Stegostoma tigrinum: one gene and its partners. Each later gene encodes a partner of the first gene's protein in a complex. Links are inferred from orthologs where the notes say so. Each region holds a gene or a part of one and is shown on either strand. Other genes may lie near its edges. The genes, in order: cdhr2, cdhr5b and anks4b.

Region 1 (7,214 bases):
GTTCCCACACGGTATGGATTCAATGCAACAATCCACATAGGCAACTGTGCTTTGCGACTGAAACTCTGTCCCCTTTTGCAGCAGTTACTGCTACTTTCCATAAAGTAAAAGTACTAATAAATTTAGAAGATAAACATAAGCAAATTTTTATCTTTAACACTAATTAGATCAGGTTTTCTGGCATTTTGAAGCAGACTTTTTAATATTGGCAGATATACATTACATATTTAGGCCTGAATTTCTGTTGTGGGGCAGAGAGCGCAGAGCCGGCACAATTTACAATTTCACGAACCCAGTCTAGGAGAAATTGACTTGGAAAGTGAGATTATCATTCTGGTAGGTTGGGAACATATTCTATGGGAGTTTGGCTGTGCCATCCCAGAGTGAGAGTGAAGACTGCTAGGTACAGAAGCAGAGAAGATAGAAGGGCTACCCTAGATTCATTCTTAAAATAAATAGGAACTTGAACCCCCACTGCCTCCTCCTCAACTTTTAGAAATATCTAAATTCCCATTGGTTAATGTTTAATCTCCATCCCATCATCTTGTAGTGCTGCCAGCAGTTTTCAATAATCTGATTGTCATGAACATCATGAAGTCTGTCTCCTAGTTTTCTTGGCTGTTTTGCTGTTAGGAGCATAGTTTTATCTCTCAATAAAATGTTATCAACACACAATGTCATATGATATATTAACTTTTTGAAATTTATTTGTTTATATGCTGTTTATACTGAGGATTACCACTACATTGAGGGATAGCAAGATATTCAAGTGCATATCAACACCTTTCATTCTTCCTGAAGTCACTGTTGTGCCTTAACAGAGTCATACAGCATGGAAAGTGACCTTCAGTCCAACCAGCCCGTGTCGAACATAATCCCAAACTAAGCTTGTCCCACCTGCCTGCTCCTGGCCCATATCCTCCAAATCTTTCCTATTCATATAATTCTCCAAATATCTTTTAAACATTGGAATTGTACCCACATCCCCCGCTTCCTCAGAAACTTCATTCCACATGCAAATCCCTCTCTGTGTAAATCTCTCTCCTCTCACTTCACAAATGTGCCCCTTACTCTTGAAATCCCCATCTTAGGGAAAAAGACAACTACCATTAACTCTCTCTGTGCCTCTCATTATTTTATAAATGTCTATTAGGTCATCTCTCAAACTCCTATGCTCCAGTGAAAAAAGTCCCAGCCTATCCAGCCTTTCTTTATAACCAACATGAAGCAACAGCTACTTTATTTGATATTTTCATGTAGAGGGGGCTAGTTTAGCTCAGTTGCCTTGACAGCTTTGAGAAGTAGAGAGATACCAGCTGTGTGGGTTCAGTTCCTATTCTGATTGAGGTTAGCATGTGGCATTGTTTTTTTTAACCTCTCCCTTTGCCTGAGGTCCGGTGACCCTCAGTTTAAACTACCACCATTCATTTCTCTCTAGAAAGCAGCCCTATGGTCTGGTGAGATTACGGCGACTTTACCTTTATTTCCGTGTCGATGAAGCCAGTCAGTTACAAACTCCTTCTTAATCAATTTTCCTGGAAAACTGTAAAATCAATCCATGTAAATCTCAGAAGCTGGCACAAACTGTCAGAGGTAAAGGTTGTGGTCATGGGATCAGTGATCTTATCATACAGTCATCAAATACATAGCACCAGGCTGCCCTCCTTTACTGATTCACCCAATGGAAAAGAGTTAACCAATTGTTAATTCATGAATTTTAAGATTTGGTACACATGACCATGTGCTAAATATGGAACAATCTCGGGTGAAAGTAGGATAAAAGGCAGTGAAATTTTTAGTACACTGGATGAGTACCATCTGAAGTCATGACATTATGAATATAGAAGATGAGAGCTGCTTGCCATTTTACAGAAGAACCATGTTTGTAGAATGATTTGTAACAGCAATCCTCATGTTGTGGGTAAGTAATTAATCAAAAATGACAACACAGCTAGATCCACTGTAGGACTGAGATTATTAGATCACAAGGTTTAAAGGTATTGTATGATTTCTGTTGCCAGGGTTACATTTGGTTTATGCCATCATACTGTTTGTTATCTAGCCTTCCACCATTTTATTGCACAGTAAGTGAATTCTTTAGAGCTTATAACCAGACTCAAAGTTCACATGCTATCAATTACAACAATCATCCTGAATTATTTTCTGGAAAATGTTCAGTGTGTCACTGGTGGATTCAAATAAAAAGTAAACAAATAGGTGAATATATTTGTTTTTATACGTAAAATTAAAATACTATTTATATAAAATACACCAAGGGGAACTCAGTGATTTGCTGAAAATAAAATTGCTATTAGCAGTTAAATCTTCTGGTCTGAACACCTTCAATATTCCATTTGCACCTATAATATTTACATTGTATGGTAATTGACAACAAGTGTTAACTTCCTAGTAACTGATGAATATTCACTCACATAATCTTAAATTGAAAGATTCCTGACTATAGATGTTAAGTTTACCAGTAAAAGTGCATAAATTTTCTTAACTCTGAACTCCCTAAATGCATTAGGAAGACCAACTATTTCAAATTCAGATTTGTCATAAACACCTTATATGGTTCAGCGACATTGATTGCTTTCTCAACATGTTAAAAGTGTTTTACTTTTGTGGCAATTTGGGACAGCCAAAATAAATCATGAATTTCAAAAGGTGGGTGTTTTTCGGTCCTGGAGTGATCCAGGATATAATATGCAGGAATTTCAGCACGGAGTTATTGAGCTGAAGATGGAGTGGCTAACACTGCGAGAGGGAAAGATACCCAGACACCTTTTTCCATGAGGCAGTCACATTCCTGAGGATAGGGTTTCCTGGTTTGATTAGTGATCAGGGACATAAGACCATGACTGGAAGCAAGGGCAGACGTTGGTACACACACTATACTATCACGGAGGCAGTTCTGGGATTTTGACCTAGTGACAATGAAGCAACTTTGATGTATTTCCAAATCAGGACGGTGTGTGACTTGGAGAGGAATTTGCACATGGTGGCATTCCCATACGTCGGCTGCCCTTGATCATCTAGGTGGTAGTGGTCATGGGTTTTGAAGGTGCTATTTAAGGAGCCTTGGTGAATTTCTGCAATTCATCATGTGGATGGTAGACACTGCTGTTACTGAGCATCAGCAATGGAGGGATTGAATGTTTATGGATGTGGTGCCAATCAAATGGGCTGCTTTTTATAGAGTCATAGAAAGTCATAGGGTCATACAGAATAGAAACAGGCACAGTGCCCACCGTGTCTAGGTCAACCAACAAACACCAAACTAACTAATCCCATTTACCTGCACTTGGTCTGTAGCTCACTATGCCCTGGCATATTAAGTACTCATCCAGATGCTTCTTAAATGTTGTGAGAGTGAATGCCTCCACCATCCTCTCGGGCAGCATATTCCATATTTCTGCCACCCTCTGGGTGAATTTTTAATTTCGGATTTCTAAATCACTTACTGTTCACTTTAAACTTATGCCGTCTGCTCTTCGACATATCTGCTTTGGGGAAAAAAAATCTACTTTGCTTAAGCCTCAAATAATTTTGTATACCTCAATCAGAACACTCCTCAGCCTCCTCTGCTCCAAGGAAAACAAACCCAGCCTACCCAGTCTGTCCTCATAACTGAGGCAACAGCCTGGTGAATCTCCTTGGCATCCTTCCCAGTGCAGTCAGGTCCTTCAGATAGTGTGGTGACAAAATCTGCACACAGCCTTCCACCTGTGGCCTAACTAATATTTTTTTAAAATTGGAAGAAGACTTCTTTGCTCCTATATTCCTTGCCTCAGCTAATGAAGGCAAGCAACAAATTCATAGTGGCAGAAACAGCAGAATAATCTTTCAATTACATAAGCATCTGCTTCATTACCTAGAGAATAAGGTCCTTGCCTGTACAAACCTGTTGATATATATAGATATATACAGGAAAAGTGTAAGAAATTAAATAATATAAAATATCAATGTTTTTGCTATACGTATGTTAAGATTTATGTTGATAGGTTTCAAATTTTGTCTCATGGTTTACTAACAAGTAGCCAGTTGCTTGTCAATTAATTGTTTTCTTCTCTCTGACTCATGAAGGAAGTGTTTGTACCATTGCGAACACCTTCTGTCAGTTGTGATTTGTTAATCAGTAACATTTATAACGTAGGAAGGTTTACTGCTTCAACTGTAAAACAAGTAAAAGTCCATCAGTGTCAACCAACGATGAGAGAATAGATTTCACACAAAGAAGGTTCCAGTAAAAATCGTAAGTAGTCACATCTTCTTAGAGCATACACAAATTGAAAACTTGAGTTAATTATCCTGTGATAATTTATTACTGTTCGATGCCTTAGAATTTGACACAAAAGTTTTTGAGGTAATTTGCTATCATTGGATATATTTATTTGAAAACAGTGCAATATTCTTTATTTTGGAATTCAACGTATGCTAGCGAAAATGTATTTGTATGGGGATTGTAAAGTACATCCCAAGTGAAAGATATTTACATTCATTGTCATTTATATATACTACTGGCCATTTCGCCATGACAGGAAATGATGAGTGGATTTCTTTCTACCTTAGTTTTTCACTTTGCAAACCAAGTAATGTAACTACCTCCATTATTAACACTACATATCAATCTGTGCCAAATACAGAGGAGCAGACAAACCATGGTGACACCCGCTAATACTGCGATATTTGATTTTTTAGTCGCGTGTTCATATCCACCGACTTTTATTCCTCCTTCCCGCTCTGTGAGAAAGTGCCTTTTTCATTTGGTGCCGAGGTCTTTGGTGAAATCTGAAATTGCTGTCACAACCTGAGAGCATATTTCACTGTAGCACCAAAGTGTGCTTTCAATTTCCATGCCATTTTTATAAACTGAAACTGAAAATGTACATTGGGTTTTGAAATCCACACAGCCCCCTTCATGAGATTGGGTAAAATGGCCCGTATTCTCTGGAGTTTTGAAGAATGGGAGGTGATCTAATTGAAACTTACAAAATTCTTAAAGGGATAGATGGGATAAATGCAGGTAAGATTTTTCCCCTAGTTGTGGGTCTGGAGCAAGGGTACACTATTGAACAGTAAGTGGATGCTAGTTAGGACTGAAATGAGGAGATTTTCTTTTACTTAGAGAGTTGTGAATGTCTGGAATTCATCCCTCTAGGGGGCTGTGCAAGGTAGATTTTGACAATATTTGAGGTAGAGGTTGATAAATCTTTGATTACTCATGGCGTAAAGGGTTCTGGGAATAGTGTATAAGTGAAGATGTCAAAGTTTTCAATCAGCCATAATCATGTTGAATGGTAGCACAGGCCCAGTGTGCTGGGTGCCCTACACTACTCCTATGTTGCTATGTAGACATTGTAGAAGTCATTTTATATGATCATGACCCCCAATTATTTTATAATTATGTAAATTAACTCCTACTTTTATTTTGCCTTGGAAAATGAGATCAACATGGTATAATAGCACAATTTCATCATGTTTTTGCACTTAGGACAAGAGAAAGTACAGTGGTCAGTGATCACTGTCATTTGGCCTCATAACCATTATTTTAATTCTTCTCTTTGTATACACTCTGGGCATAACTTTCCATCCTGTAACATCGAGCATATTGGATGGCATCGTATCTACCAATGCAATTACCTCATGATTATGTGAATGTAAGCTCATTCTCTGTGTAATGATGCACAAGCCTCATCGCTGTCAGTGCTGTTGCGACCTTTTGGTGTTGAAGGTTCAGGTGCCATCTTTAAATGCCAGTTGGACACCACTTAAAAAAACCGGGAAACAAGGGATTTCCAGTTAGCCTGCAGTGTGTAACCCCCCAAGCCCAGAAATGCCTGCAAGGAAGGTTCTACTGTCTCCCTGGTTTACTGATGCTACCCTGCTGCATCATCATTAGAAGGATCTTCCTGTTCCTGGTGATGGCATCAGGAATCTATCCCATCAGACACATCCTTGCAGCATGTGTCAATGCTGTTGTTCCCCACAGGAGAAACAACTTGTAGTGCAGGAAAAGGGTCAATGACTCCCTCCACAAGGGGAGAGCTGACATCATCTTTTTTCTGATAGTACACATAGAACTATCATTCAGTCAAACTGTGCCACTACACAGGCAATTCACAAATGGTCAGAGCCTGACACTTGTCCGCAGCTAGTGGAGGAAGAAATGCTCAAGGTCTCTGACGTTTGTAGAATATAAAAAAGAACAGAAGCAGTCCCTCCAACCCACAATGTCTGTGCCATTCTAAACTAATCCCATCTGTCTGTACATGGTCTTTATTCCTTAAATATTGCTATCATATCTGCTTCTACTGCCTTCTCTGGCAGAGCATTCCAGGCACTTACAACCCTCTGTGTAAAAAACTTGCCTTGCATGACTCTTTTAAACTGCTCCCCTCACTTTAAACCTATACCCTCTAGTATTTCGCATTTCCACCCTGGGAAAAATTCTCTGACTATCTGCCCTAACCAGGCCTCTCATAATTTTATATACTTCTTTGTGGAGGGCACAAAACATCACCATGATGAGGCACGCACTGTCTGTGGTATGCTGTAAGGTACTACCTGTCTGGTTCAGGCTTGGAAGCCACATATTCAGAAGGACTCAGTCTATTCTACAATAGCTCTGGTTGAAGAGTTGTATCTCCCTTGGCAACAGTCACAGGATTTCTTCAAGATGTTATCAACCAGGTACAGAGGAGATTCTATTTGCCATCCAGAAACTGTCCTTGTATGGTTTGAGGGCCTTTGAAAGATGATGGCACCAATGAGTCACCCTGGTGTGCACGTTAGGGTGGATCCCTGAATATATAACACAATCCTGCAATACCTGGAGTGTTGTGGTCACAAATAATGTGAACACTAAGGAAGTGGAATGCTTTTTTGGTTCACAACAGGGTACTCTGATTGTTCTACGGTTGCAAACAATTGCATGTTCACCCTGTGAAAAACCTGCAACAGTTGGAAAGCCAAATGATGGAGCTGTTTGACTGGTTGCATTGAGGGCGACTGAGATTAAATGGAAGGGATCTTCTTGTGAGGGGAGATTCAGTGACACCCTTGAAGCAATAATGAGTTGAGGACCCATAAAGTCCTTAGAAGCTCCAAGAAATGATATGGTGGAAAAAAAAATTCTGGCAGTTGTTGTTGTTCTGGCTACGGGGTAGGATTGCCACCCTGTCCTTGTGAACACAATTCCAGTCCAGCAGTTA
Region 2 (7,361 bases), on another chromosome or scaffold:
CCAAGCAGCATCTGAGGAGCACAAAAGCTGACGTTTCGGGCCTAGACCCATCATCAGAGCTCTGATGAAGGGTCTAGGCCTGAAACGTCAGCTTCTGTGCTCCTGAGACGCTGCTTGGCCTGCTGTGTTCATCCAGCTTCACACTTTATCATCTCACGACCCAGTTGGGCTGGAAGTGACCATGATGCATAAACCTGAGCTCTGAGCATCAGAGCTGGAGCAACAGCTGGAATCACTGAGGTGCAGCAATCTACATGGACTGCGCACACACAGATGTTGTCATGCTCCAAATTAGGGATAAGGAACGTAAAAAGGCAGTTCAGGAATGACTGATACCAGCAAACCAAGAGAAACAGGAGGGTACTGCAAGAATCCCCAGTGGTCCTGCTGGCTAGCTGTTTTCTTTCTAGATATTGGAGTGTAACAAGAGTCAAGCTAATGGCACTACAGGTAGCCCAGCTCTGCACGAGTGGAGCAATCAGAGTGAAAGGGCAGTATTGAAAGGGAATTCTATGGTAAGGGAAGCAGGCAGGCATTTTTGCAGCCATTGATGTGATTCCAGGATGGTCTGTTGTGTCGTTGGTGCTATGATCAGTGATATCACAGACATTCTTCTGGGGGAGGTTGAACAGGCAGTGGTGGTATCTCCCACACTGAAACTAACAACAGAGGGAGAAAAGGGAATGCGGGCCTGCAATCATACTTTAAGGAGCCCTGTGAGAACAATCCTCTAAAGTAGCAAACTTCAGATTAGTCTCAGTCCCAAAAGCAAGTGAGTACAGAAATATGAGGATTAGGCAGGTGAATGCTGGGCTTTGAATCCCTGGGACATTGGCACTGGGCCCTGTGAAAGATGACCTCTATACAAGTCAGAAAGCTTGCACCTGAACAGAACCAGGGCTGAGTACCTTGACGCATGTTTTACTAGTGCTGTTGGGGAGATGTTAAAATAACTCAGCAAGGGTGTGGGAACCAGGACAGGCTAATAGAAAGTAATTCAAAGGAGCACAAAATTCTGGGAGAGGCAGATAGCGCAAAAATAGAGAAGAGTAAATTATAATCAGTGGAGTCAGATTGAGAGAGAAAGTAATGAAGTCTGAATACACTGCATGTATGTGAACATACAAAGCACAGTTAATAACACTGGGGAGCTACAAGGTGCAGACTGTCATGTGAAATTGTGATGCTGTGTGATAACAGAGAAGGGCAGGTCTGGGTGTTAAATATTCCTGCTTGTAAGACAGTCTGAAGAGATAGAAGAGGAAAAAAAAACAGAGGAGAGGATTAATGATGTGATAATGGGAACTGCAGATGCTGGAGAATCCAAGATAACAAAGTGTGAAGCTGGATGAACGCAGCAGGCCAAGTAGCATCTCAGGAGCACAAAAGCTGATGTTTTGGGCCTAGACTCTTCATCAGAGAGGGGGATGGGGAGAGGGTTCTGGAATAAATAGGGAGAGAGGGGGAGGTGCACCGAAGATGGAGAGAAAAGAAGATAGGTGGAGAGGAGAGTATAGGTGAGGAGGTAGGGAGGGGATAGGTCAGTCCAGGGAAGACGGGCAGGTCAAGGAGGTGGGATGAGGTTAGTAGGTAGGAAATGGAGGTGCGGCTTGAGGTGGGAGGAAGGGATGGGTGAGAGGAAGAACAGGTTAGGGAAGCGGAGAGAGGCTGGGCTGGCTTTGGGATGCAGTGGGGGGAGGGAACGAGCTGGGCTGGTTTTGTGATGCAGTTGGGGGGGTGGCGGTGGGGAAGAACTGGGCTGGTATTCCTCCGCCTCCGCCGCATCTGCTCCCAGTATGAGGCATTCCACTCCCGCACGTCCCAGATGTCTACGTTCTTCAAGGACCGCAACCTTCCCCCCGGAGTGGTCGAGAACGCCCTTGACCGCGTCTCCCGCATTTCCCGCAACACATCCCTCACACCCCGCCCCCACCACAACCACCCCCAGAGGATCCCCCTCGTTCTCACATACCACCCCACCAACCTCCAGATACAACGCATCATCCTCCGACACTTCCGCCATCTACAATCCGACCCCAGCACCCAAGGCATTTTTCCATCCCCACCCTTGTCTGCCTTCCAGAGAGACCACTCTCTCTCCGGGACTCCCTTGTCTTCTCCACACTCTCCTCCAACCCCACCACACCCAGCACCTTCCCCTGCAACCGCAGGAAGTGCTACACTTGCCCCCACACCTCCTCCCTCACCCCCATCCCAGGCCCCAAGATGACTTTCCATATTAAGCAGATGTTCACCTGCACATTTGCCAATGTGGTATTTGTATCCATTGTACTCGGTGTGGCTTCCTCTACATTGGGGAAACCAAGCGGAGGCTTGGGGACCGCTTTGCAGAACACTTCCGCTCGGTTCGCAACAAACAACTGCACCTCCCAGTCGCGAACCATTTTAACTCCCCCTCCCATTCCTCAGACAACATGTCCATCATGGGCCTCCTGCAGTGCCACAATGATGCCACCCAAAGGTTGCAGGAACAGCAACTCATATTCCGCTTGGGAACCCTGCAGCCCAATGGTATCAATGTGGACTTCACAAGCTTCAAAATCTCCCCTTCCCCCACTGCATCCCAAAACCAGCCCAGGTCTTCCCCTCCCGCCTCTGCATCCCAAAACAAGCCCAGCCTGTCTTCGCTTCCCTAACCTGTTCTTCCTCTCACCCATCCCTTCCTCCCACCCCAAGCCGTACCTCCATCTCCTACCTACTAACCTCATCCCACCTCCTTGACCTGTCCGTCTTTCCTGGACTGACCTATCCCCTCCCTACCTGCTCACCTATACTCTCCTCTCTACCTATCTTCTTTCCTCTCCATCTTCGGTCCGCCTCCCCCTCTCTCCCTATTTATTCCAGTTCCCTCTCCCCATCCCCCTCTCTGATGAAGGGTCTAGGCCCAAAATGTCAGCTTTTGTGCTCCTGAGATGCTGCTTGGCCTGCTGTGTTCACCCAGCTCCACACTTTGTTATCAGAGGAGAGGATTCAGAGGGTTTTAGGGTAAGGACATCATTGCAGTTCTGGAGAAAGAGATTTCAGAGAGGTCAAGGGTGGAATTAATTTAGTTAGAACTAAGGAATATAACTACATTGTTCAATGCAATCTATAGATCACCACCGCATGGGAATAGTGTACAGGAACAAATTTACAAAGAAATTCTAGCGAGGGGTCAACATCATAGCGTCATTAACTATCTGGGTATAGACTGGGATAGAAACCAAGTAAGGGGCAGCAAGAGGCAAGTGTTCCTAGATTGTGTTTAGGGGAATTAATGTGAAATCCTTCAATCACAGAGGGATACTCATGCCCCTTTAGGATGAGGCTCCCTCTCTGAGACCTGGTCATAGCTCTCCAGCCTGAGGAGTGCCACTGGGAGTTGTGAAACTGCTGGGCTAGCATTCAGTTCCCAATGATGATCACTTCTTGGAACTGGGACCAGGCTGCTGTGCCCTGGATGAGAAATGGTGAAGGCCAGGATCAGGATGTTAAGTGTAGAGTAAGCAGAGCCAGATATTACCGTGGTGATGGTGGACAAAGTCCCAAGAGTAGGCATGACTCTGGCTTACAAGTGATCTATCTTATTCACAACATCCACCAAGGGACATGAGCAAGCCTCTACCACCCTCTCCTCTGAGGCTGGTGAACTATTAGAGACAGTTGGGGGAAGTGCTTAAGAGGCAATTAATAGTATGAGTGGTGGTTGGGAAAGCTGGGGTGTGGGTGCTGGTGTCCTCCTTTAAAGTCCCACCCTTGGAAGCAATGTAATAGGCCCTTGGAGAGCAGTTGGAGACTTTGATCAGAAGCGTCTATCAGGAAATGTATTTTTCAGATCTGTCAACAGTTTGGAGAGGGTAGCATGGTGGCTCAGTGGTTAGCACTGCTGCCTCACACCACCAGAGACACAGGTTCAAGCCCATCCCCGGGTGACTGCCTACATGGGGTTTGCACGTTCTCCCTGTGTCTGTGTGGGTTTCCTCTGAGTGCTTTGATTTCTCTCCACAGTTGAAAGAAGTGCAGGCTAGGTGGATTGGCCATGCTAAGTTGCCTGTAGCATTCAGGGATGTGTAGATTAGGTGGGTTATAGGGCCTGGGTCTGAGGATCACTGTGGACCTGTAGGGCCGAAGGGCCTGGTTCCACACTGTAAGGAATCTATGAAACATTCACACCCACTTGAAGTGAGACTGTATCTCATTAGCCTTTGACGAGCAGCCAGTGGCGTGTCAGTGCAGGATGTGATCAGCTTTTATGACTTTCCATAGTGGGAATTAAACAGTGACTGGGTATGCAGAATAGCAATAAAGTAATAACGCCATGAAGCAAAGGTTGGAACAACAAGCACCAATATTTCCGTCAGTCTATTTTGATTCGGATTCCTTTCAAGCTGCTAACAGAAAGAAGCGGTTGAGGCTGGGACAGTTTCGGTTCAGTGACTTGGGCCTAGTGAGGCTTTATTTATGATTTTTGGCAAAAATCTTCAGCGTCCAAGAGAGAATGGACACAAGCCGCACGATTTGTGGCCCCCACATCTTGCTGTTCATCCTGTTCGCAGTTCTTCAGATAAATGCAACTGCTGCTGTTAATAACCACTGCTCTCCCAACAAGGGTAAGCCACACCTTTCATATTATGCATGAACAATTGTTTTGTTTGTCCCTTTTTAACTGTAAGTTTAACGTCCTTTCTATCTTTCTCTAGCTTGTTGTGTTTCAGAAAATCCCATACACGTGAAAGAGAATAACAATGCAAACCTGGTCATCAGTAATATAACAATAAGGGAACCTCCGGTTACAATATTAGATCCGTCAAAGACACCTGATGTTGCTGTCAATGGGACCACACTGGTGCTCACAAAAACAATCGATTTTGAGGTAATCTCAATGAACCAGTCGCAGGGAAACAGGAGCTCAAGATACACACAGGGAAATAGTTGTTCCAGACAGTTGGAGGGAGGCCAGAGCTCCAGTCACAGGGAGACAGGAGCTCCAGTCAGTCACAGGGAGACAGGAGCTCCAGTCAGTCACAGGGAGACAGGAGCTCCAGACAGTCACAGGGGGACAGGAGATCCAGACAGTGGCAGGGAGACAGGAGATCCATACAGACACAGGGGGACAGGAGATCCTGACAGTGACAGGGAGACAGGAGATCCATATAGACACAGGGGGACAGGAGATCCTGACAGTGACAGGGAGACAGGAGATCCATACAGACACAGGGGGACAGGAGATCCTGACAGTGACAGGGAGACAGGAGATCCAGACAGTCACAGGGGGACAGGAGATCCTGACAGTCACTGGGGACAGGAGCTCCACACAAACACAGGGAGAGACAGGAGATTCACACAGCCACAGGAAGACAGGAGCTCCACACAAACACAGGGAGAGACAGGAGATTCACACAGCCACAGGAAGACAGGAGATCCACACAGACACAGGGGTATAGTTGCATTGGCCTTGAAAGGATTTACCTGAAAGATACTCAGCTCCCAGAGTGAAATTACAAGGGACCATTACACACGTTCGGCCTCAATTCCCTGAAATTTAGAAATATTAGGGATGATTTAATCTAAATTTTGAAGATATCATAAGAAACAAAGAGGATAGCTAGACACAACAGTAGTTGTCTGGCGGGAAGAGCAGGATGCAACGATACAGTCTATAAATTAAAAGCTGAGTTTTCAGAAGTAAGCTTAAGACAAACCTTAACACTGCAAGGGTAGTAGAAGCTTGGAACTCTCTCCTGTAAGAAGCATTTGATGCTGGATCAACTATTAATTTTACATTTGAAATTGAACACTTTTTTGTCAGCTAATGATATTAAGTGATAAGTAGGCATGGAAATGGAGTTACATCATAAATCAACCATTGAATGGTAGAACAGTTTTGATGGACTAAATTGTCCCCTCTTGTACCCATGTTTCAGACCCGTTATTGTGAGCTCAGCTGGACAGCCTCTCGATGTTCCAACTTCACAAACTTTCACGTATTTCGATAAGAACACTATTCATTCTTCTAATTGACATAGAATATAGGCCCCTTCTACTAAATTTCTCCTCATATGACAGCCATCTCATTTCAGGATCAATCTCATGAAATTTTGTTGCTCTTCCTTTTTGGCAGGTTTATCCTTCCTTAGGTAAGGGGAACCAAAACTATACTTAGTACTCCAGGCTGAGTGTTACCAAGGCTCCGTGTAATATGTTGCGTGAGCAACGATCTCTGCACACAACATTGTTGCGTGAGACTGTTTGCACGATTGCTCATCATGCAGTAGGCCTTCAGCCACCATCCTCTTTTAAGGTGGGGTCTTAGAGGGCCAGCTGATCTCATACGTTAGAGGAAAACCATTGGCTGGTCTAACAAGAAGAGGCTTTTGTTTCTAACAAGTTCCCATTTATATACATTTAAACAACTATGTACAAATTACATTGATTACTGAGACGAGCAGCCATTTTCCATTATACCTCAGAGATCCTAAGCTGTACTCCCATCAGGTCCACATGACATTATCACAGAGTGGAGTCCTTAAGGCACGTCTCAGCATTAACCCTTTCAGATCCATATCCAACATAATAGCAGCAAGATTTTCTTACACCTTTACAGTAACCTCTTGTGATAAAGGCTAAAGTACGCTTTACTTCCCTCTCAGTTTTTGTTTTAAATTAGAACACGGTAAGTTCTCAACCAATGGCAATTGCTCACGGCACCATAGGGACAGGCTGTAACGTGTGAAAGAGTACCTCAAACCACTCCTTCCCAGTCAGCAATATCTCCTGTTGCTTTCCTGTCCTCCCATTTCATGCCCCATGTAAGGCATTGAATAAGTGACATAGTACTTGTGATTCAACTCACCAAGTGGTGAAAGAAACATTCGTAAGGATTTACACAAAAGCAGTGAGCTCATTTGAAAGTTCTGGGACAGGGTACTGGGGCTTATGTTTATTGGCGAAGTGCAGGAAGCAGAATGACAAATAGCTAGTCTGCTTGCTTCTTGCTCACTCGTCTCGGTGAGCCAAGTCAATGCTGTAAAAAAATACACACAAACTTTGGCCCATCCAACATTCTGAAAAATGCACTAGATGATGAAAAAAATTGCAAGCAAGTGATTTCTTTTGAAAGAAGCTCAATAGTTTTTGTTTATCTCTAAATGTTGGATAATCTTCTGATTTCCTTGTCTATCTGCTTTCTGTATTCTCTGAGACTGGCACCTGGTGCCAGAATTGTCAATCTGATGTCAGTGTGCCATATTTTATGTTTGTGGTGAGGGTAGAGTTGGGGGACACACACACACTAATTGTGGGTGTAAAACTCAGGCCTATATTTGTCATCATGTTGTGTCTGTTTACTGTGTAAAACCATT
Region 3 (7,361 bases), on another chromosome or scaffold:
GTCCGAGCGGCAGACTGATACTTTTCAGATCGCCATCAGTGCACAGCATGAGGGAGTCCAGGTCAATCTGCTCTCTTGCCAGGAAAGGGATGAACTCTGTCATATTCTGACAGGCCAAGAAGGTTTCAAGTGGTGTCGTCTCAGGCTCATCATCATCCAGACCGATATCATCTTCGTTCCAGGGCAAATCATCTTCCTCTTCTTCACTGAAAGCTTCAAGATCTGGAGACATTTCCTTGGGCTTCAACACTATGCTGCGCAATTTGGAACCAATGTCTTCTACTTCATTACTGCTGAACATTTCCTCTTCCACGTTTAAACCCAGAACAAAATTCCGCCTGAAGAGCATATTTCCCAATCCTGGTCGATTGAAGAGAGACTCATGACCGAAGTTGTTATCATAGTCAGAGGATTTCAAATCAGAAGAAGCTGCATTCTCTTCATCTCCTTCATTAAACACATCCAGTACATTGGCCCGAATCCCAATGTCTCGTTCTTGCTTTACAAAAATGACATCCTTTTCTAGTTGCTGCTGAGTGAAGCTTTTGCTGTTATCCTTCTTCTTAAGTCTCTTCTGCAGAGATCCTTTGATAATGGAAGAAATGGTACCTTTGTGTTGTGGTTCACTTACTGTAGAGAGGTTGCTGACACTGGATATAGTTCCTTGCTGTACTGAAGAAGCAGCACCTTCACTTTGGGCTTCCATCTCCCGGCTATACTTCTTGTTCATCCGATTTTGGTGCTTTTTCTTGCGTTTTTCACACAGTTTGATTTGTTTCTCACTGTCCTTTACTGCCTTTTCTTTTAGCCTGGCCACCTGTTTCGGATTCATGGTGATGTGCTTGGTGGCAGCTGTGTCCAGGAAGCGGACACATTCCATTCGATCCTTACTGGCAGCAGCATCCATGGCAGAATGGAAATCATTGTCCAAAGCCCAAATATTTGCACCAAAGTTAACCAAGAAAGTGACAATGTGAAGGTGGCCATTGGTTGAAGCGTGGTGCAGAGGTGTATTGCCCCAGATATCACAGATATCAGGATCGCCACTGAAGTACAAGCACAAAGAGTTGATTTGATACAGGGTTTTACATAATGTCGTGAGTCTTTTGCTTCAAATTCTCAAACTACACATTTTTCCTAGCACTGGTAGTACATGTTGATCTGGGTTATTAACCTCCTGATTCTTTACCCAAGTTGTCATTCTTGATACTTTGCCTCAGACAGTGAGTGCTGAGTTGACCTTAAAAGACATCATGGGCAAGTCTGATCTAACCTACAATTTGAATGGGATGCTTATGCCTGCAGTAGCCGAGAGTAGCTTAGTGAAGACCAGCTCATTTAATGGAGACTAGAACCTAAGTCTAGGGTATGTGTCCAACTGAGCAGGACAAGTAATAACTAGGCTAACAGACACACTCAGCACTTCCAATAACTAGTGCAGCAGACTATGCCCACTGCTTACAACTTTGGCACTCTGCCCTCTGAGTCAGAAGGATATGGGTTCCAATTCCACTCCAAAAACACGAGCACTTAATCCAAATGGGCCCTTCATTATAGTACTGAAGGAGTTCTAGACTGTTAGGAGGTGCTAATCCTGCGGATGAGATAGTAAATGTGGCCCTATCTGTGTTCTTAAGTGGACATAAATGATCCCAATAAATTATTCAAAGAAGAGTAGGCAAGCTCATCCCCATGTTGTGGACAATATTTATCCCTTGATCAATCACTGAATCAGATTGTCTGGTCATCATTACATTGCTCTTTGTGGAGTTTGCTGTGTATAAGTTGGCAGGTTGTGATACAAACATCACAAAAGTGATTACACTTCATAAAGTACTCAATTAAATGTACAGCACTTTGGGGTACATGTGGTTCTGGTGGACAATGGTATAAAAATGCATACTTTGTGCTTTTTCCCCTCTCTCCCATGTGATTGGAGTGCTTGGCACATTGAACCCTTGACAAAGTTTGACAGTGACCGGCAAATAATCTATATCTGTCGTGACTTTGAGCAATGCTGCAGGTAGACATGCCTGATCCGTGACTTTACAATCATGATTTGTGACATCAATTCACGTTGATGAGAGGCACACCCCTGACACATTACATCACAATGTATTTCTGTGGATTCCTCTGCTGTTTAATTACAAAAATATTTATTTTATATTAATTTGGATTCTTTCTGTAATGGGATCTTTCCCCCATATAACAAATAGTTCAAGGAAAGTTTGTCAACTGAGAACCTGCAACATTGTCTGAATGTCTATTACCTCAAAGCACTTTTACAAAATAAATTCTCAATTAAAGGAAATATAAATTTAAAAATAATGATTAAACTGCTTCAAATAAACATTGAATGACTTGCAATTATATACAGCCTTTCACAAAGTCAAAATGTTCCAAAAACTTTCCAAATAAAGAACGACTTTTTTGTGCAGAGACTTTTACAGTAGGAGATTTGATAGCCAATTTGTGTTAAACGAGCTTCCACCGACAGTAATAATATAATGTTTGGACTATAGTCTTCGTGACGTTTAAAGACGAATGTTGGACTGAGCTGCAGGGATACTCCTCCTGTCCTTCAAAATAGAACCGTGGGACCTTTTACATTGCCCTGCTTAGGCCTTAGTTTAAGGACTCATAATGAAAGAAAGCATCTCGAACAGTGCAGCACTCTCAGATCAGTTCAGCCTGGATGATTTAAAGCGATTGCAGTGTATCTTAATCTACAATCCTCTTCCCCTCTGAAACAGATGATCATTTTATTTGGAAAAAGAACCATGAAGGGTAACATAAAAGAGTCAGGTTGTGACACTCACCCTCTGCTGCAGATGAGCTGCAGAGCCTCCAAATGGCCGTGATATGCCGCCCAAAGCGTCGGGGTCATTCCGTCCTCATCGGGACTGTTCAGATCCCTCTTTGTGGCCTCCTTCAGGGGACCGAGGTAGCCATCCCTGGCCGCTTTGTGGTACCTCTCAGTCATGGCTCAAATCCTGAGGCTGGCCTTCACACACTCACAGCGTTCGCAGCTGGAGGGAGCAGCCAGTGAGCGAGGACCGGGAGATGGAGTGGCACCGCCCAGGGTGGGAACAAGGTCCACTCTCCAGAGAGTGCAGATTTAAGGCAGGCCAGCTGACGAGATTATCAGGTGTTGTTTCCCCCGTTACTTCCTCCTGTTTCTTGAGCACATTTATGTGATTTAAACATTGTTTAATGTAAATTGCAGTCTGCAAAAGGGCACCATTTATCTGCCTAAACTGAAAACCAAACGAATGTCTGTGTTTGCATGTTAGTTATCCCTTCCATTGTTTATCCGTTAAATACTTCAACTGTTTTTGCATTTTCGCAATAAATACTTCAACTGTTTTTGCATTTTCGCAATGCAAGGTTCCCGCTGCTTCGCATCGATTGTGTCTCTGATATTTGCAACTAAATCCTCAGCGGTTTTTTTTGTCATTTTAGTTTTATCTATTTGTTTAGGAAACATGGATCGACCTTAAAATGTTCTAACTGTATAACACCAACCGACCTTTGAATTATAGGTTGATGTCAAATTCTCTTCTCACTCGATGTCCTCGAGTTGTAATAAATTATTACGGTTGAGAAGCGAAGTGTGAATCATAATGATAATCAATGGGAGAGTAAGACGTTTTGAGAAGCAACCGCTTGCAGCCAGAGATACACGGGATTTTGGGGGAGGGGGTGTGGTAGTGGTCAGTGAACCATTAACGACAGATTCATTCATTTCGTCCGGAGATTGTTTATGCCAAACACACTCAGAAATAACGCAGTAAATCGGGGTCCTTAATATGTCAGAGAGAATGAGTGCAGCTTACAACCGAAACATGGAGAATTACATTTATTTATATTGCAACTTTCACGTCCTTTCACGTCAAACTATTTTTCTGTAACCAATGAAGCACTTTTTGAAGTGTACACTAGTGAGGAAACAGCAGCCAAGCTTCCACGTACAGTATCTCGGTGAATATTGTTGTAAACACCAACATTACAACACTGACTACATTCAAAACGAATTGGCTGCGATATAGTTGGATCGGTCTGATATACAGTAACAACTGGTTCACGCTCCTAAAATTACCAGTCGGTGTGAAGATGAGAGGGTGATTCATGCAGACTTCTGCCATTGCTGGCTGTGGCTGTGGTGATTAAAAGTACCTCTGTACACATCATTTAGAACAACCTAGCCCCTGTGTGAGAGGGTTGGTATCGCGCAAAGTAACAAAATAGATAAATGATTTGATAACTCTTTAATCGAACATTACCCTCTATTTTCTCTTACAGATACTCATTAATTTGACATCTGCTTGCAAAGTTTTCTGCTTGCTTTGAATAACGGAACAGGTTTCGGGGCTCAATGGTCCTCCCTTGCTCCTAACTTTTTTTGGCTCTGTTGTTTTTGTTCTTGTTTCAGAGCTGCAGCGTTTGCATCTTTTAAAAAAGAAATAAAGGTGAGATTGTGAGGCTGCAAACTTCTAAAAATGTCCAAAATGCAACCTTTTAAACACAAGAACTGACCTTCCCTGCTGCCCAATTCACCAGCCACATTTGAAGACTGGTAAACCTGGATGGAGCAGATTCCATTTCTGAATGGTAAGTGAAAAATGAACAATGGACACCATTTTTTAATTGGATGTGGTTGTCACTGGGTGGGCATTTATTGCCTCTCTCTAATTGGGAAGATGGTGAAAGGGTGATGGTGAGTTGCCTTCTGGAAATACTGCAGTCCATGCGCTGGAAGTAGACCCACAATTCTATTGGGGAGGGAGGCCCACAGGATTTGGACCTGGCAACAGTGAAAGAATGCTGATATATTTCCAGGTCAACGTTGGGACTGGCTTGGAGGAGAACTGGCAGGTTGTAGTTTTTCCATGTATTTGTTGTCCTTGTATTTCTAGATGGTGTCAATCACAGGTTGGAAGATACCGTCGATGGACCCTTCTTGAATTTCTGCAGTGCATCATGTCGATGGTGTGCACTGCTACTTCTGAATGTTGGTAGTGGAACAACTGAATGCTTGTGGGTGTAGTACCAATCAAGCAGGCTGCTTTGCTCTGGATGGTGTTGAGCTTCTTGAGTGCTGTTGGGGCTGCACCCATCCAGGCAAGTGGGGAGTATTCCATCACACTCCTGACTGGAGCCTTGTTGATGATAGAGAGACATTGGGGAATCAGGGGGTAAGTTACTCGCTGCAGTATTCCTAGCTTCTGACCTGCTCTTGTAGCCATTGTATTTATGTGGCTAGTCCAGTTCAGTTTCTGATCAAAGATAACCCGCCAGAATGTTAACAGTGGAGGATTCAATGAGGTTTATGCCAGTGAATGTCAAAGGGCAATGATCAGATTCTGTCTTGTTGGAGATGATCTTGGCTTGGCATTTGTGGGGCACAGATGTTATTTACTACTTGTCAGCCCAAACCTGTATATTGTCCAAATCTTGCTGCATTTGAACGTGGACTGCTTCAGTATCTGAGGACTCCTGAATATTGCTGAATATCGTGCAATCATCAACAACATCCCCACTTCTGACGTTATGATAGAGGAAAAGTCATTGACGAAGCAGCTAAAGATGGTTGGGCCTAGGACACTACCCTGAGGAACTGCTGCTGAAATGTCCTGCCGCTAAGATGACTCCAACAACCACAATCCAATCACCTTTCTTTGTGCCAGAGATGACGCCAGCCAATGGAGTGTTCTGTCCCTGATTTCCAATCATTTTAGTTTTGCTAGGACTCCTTAATGCCACACTAGGTCAAATATGGTATTAATGTCAAGGTTAGTCACTCCCTCCACACCTCTGGAATTCAGGTCTCTTACCCACATTTGAACTGAGGCCCTAATGAAGTCAGGTGGCGGAACACAAGCTGAGCATCAGTCGCCTTATAGCATTGTTGATGAATCTCCTATCACTTTTACGAATGATCGAGAGTAGTAATTGGGCATGTTGGGGATTTATCTTGCTTTTGATGGACAGGACATATATGGGCAATTTTCCACATTACTGGAAAATGTCAGAGGATCTTCATGTTCGTTTTTTTGAATGCTGTTGCTGTTATATTTGCTTGGTTACTCGCATCTTTGTCTTACAAAATATACTCGATTCATAATTTATCTGTATAAAAAATCGAGTCGGACATTACATTAGATTGAATAAAAATTACATTTCTGAGCTAAACATTTTGTACACGTGTGCGTATGTGCAAAATTGGCACATTTACTGAATTTGACCAGAAACGATATACATTTCAATACCAGCTACAAAGGGGTTCTCTATGTTAACAGCCTCTCGGTACATGATTATAGAAAGACCTCAGTTTTGGATGCGTGAGGAACATACGTTTTCTTTCACTGTTAGTGCCTCTGACTGAATCAGTGTCTCTATGCCACACCTGGAAGTTCAATGTTTGTTCTTTTTTTAACGCCGGAATACGCTGGGTCCGATTTTAATCCCGCAAATGGCTAGATTTTAAATGAGTTTGCCTGCCGCCCAATTCCTTCTCCAGCCGGACGTCCTTGAACATTTTCACCAACAGAGGGCGTGGGTTTGCTCAAAGTATTTCTCCGAGTGCTGGGTGGAGCCGGAGTTAAAGGAAGACTCTGTATTTCTCTATAGATTGGCGAACAATCCTGCTTTCATTTCTTGGATTAATAATGAAGGGCTCTGCCAGCTCTTCTCTTGCTTCCTACGAGACACTTGTGCACGCAGTGGCTGGGATGGTGGTAAGTTGTGGGATGACCTGGAGTTTAAACACGGTGGATACACCGTGCACCAGGCACTTCAATTAGAACAACACACACCCCGGTCTCCAAACCTCACCGGGAGTGTGTTAGGTGAAAACTGGAGCCTCGGGGTAACCCGCCTGGTTAAAGCTTCAGCCCAGCGTTCCTCGCAGCGTTCTGTTGAATGCTCTGAATTTTACATGTGAGCGTCCAGGGTTGGGCTGCATCCGTATTCCAGCCTCAGATTTCCTGGTTGGGTTTTGTCAATGTGCAGACCCAGTCATTGTGTTACTCTGTGACTAGCTGAACTTTTCCGCCCGTTCAGTGCAGATTTAAGTTAAATCTGCCCCGAGGTTAAAAAAAACACTTGAAAGACCCATCTGTAAGAGAAAGTTTGAGAAAGATTTTTCAAAGGATAAAAGAGGTAGGCTCCTGGATCGGCTGAAGCGTGCTCTCCTGCTGATTCATTTCAGTTTCGGTGGCACAGTGTTTAATGTATCTCAAATCTTTGGAAATAACCCCAGGGATTGAGTGTCGATGTCATCTCTCCCCCGTCATTAATCTAACAAACATTTCCCTCGGCAATTTCCCGAGGGAGAATTTCGGAGCCTTTCTCGCGCTCTG

The links.
Region 2: cdhr2 (region 1) and cdhr5b share a complex: the UniProt entries of both Homo sapiens proteins name them as parts of the IMAC/intermicrovillar adhesion complex. The link is inferred for Stegostoma tigrinum from reciprocal best matches to the Homo sapiens genes CDHR2 and CDHR5.
Region 3: cdhr2 (region 1) and anks4b share a complex: the UniProt entries of both Homo sapiens proteins name them as parts of the IMAC/intermicrovillar adhesion complex. The link is inferred for Stegostoma tigrinum from reciprocal best matches to the Homo sapiens genes CDHR2 and ANKS4B.

What each region holds. Positions count from the first base shown.
Region 1 is NC_081366.1:45,702,552-45,709,765, reverse strand, and holds the start of cdhr2 (cadherin-related family member 2), read left to right. Parts: upstream 1-4,186; 5' UTR 4,187-4,255; intron 4,256-7,214. UniProt on the Homo sapiens protein: Intermicrovillar adhesion molecule that forms, via its extracellular domain, calcium-dependent heterophilic complexes with CDHR5 on adjacent microvilli. Thereby, controls the packing of microvilli at the apical membrane of epithelial cells.
Region 2 is NC_081370.1:35,282,251-35,289,611, forward strand, and holds the start of cdhr5b (cadherin-related family member 5), read left to right. Parts: upstream 1-4,288; 5' UTR 4,289-4,498; coding exon 4,499-4,610; intron 4,611-4,700; coding exon 4,701-4,873; intron 4,874-7,361. UniProt on the Homo sapiens protein: Intermicrovillar adhesion molecule that forms, via its extracellular domain, calcium-dependent heterophilic complexes with CDHR2 on adjacent microvilli. Thereby, controls the packing of microvilli at the apical membrane of epithelial cells.
Region 3 is NC_081376.1:33,800,266-33,807,626, reverse strand, and holds the start of anks4b (ankyrin repeat and SAM domain-containing protein 4B), read right to left. Parts: upstream 3,111-7,361; 5' UTR 2,984-3,110; coding exon 2,820-2,983; exon of another isoform or gene 1,047-2,819; coding exon 1-1,046. Other genes in the region: slc25a17l (peroxisomal membrane protein PMP34), read left to right, coding at 6,669-6,737. UniProt on the Homo sapiens protein: As part of the intermicrovillar adhesion complex/IMAC plays a role in epithelial brush border differentiation, controlling microvilli organization and length. Plays a role in assembly of the complex.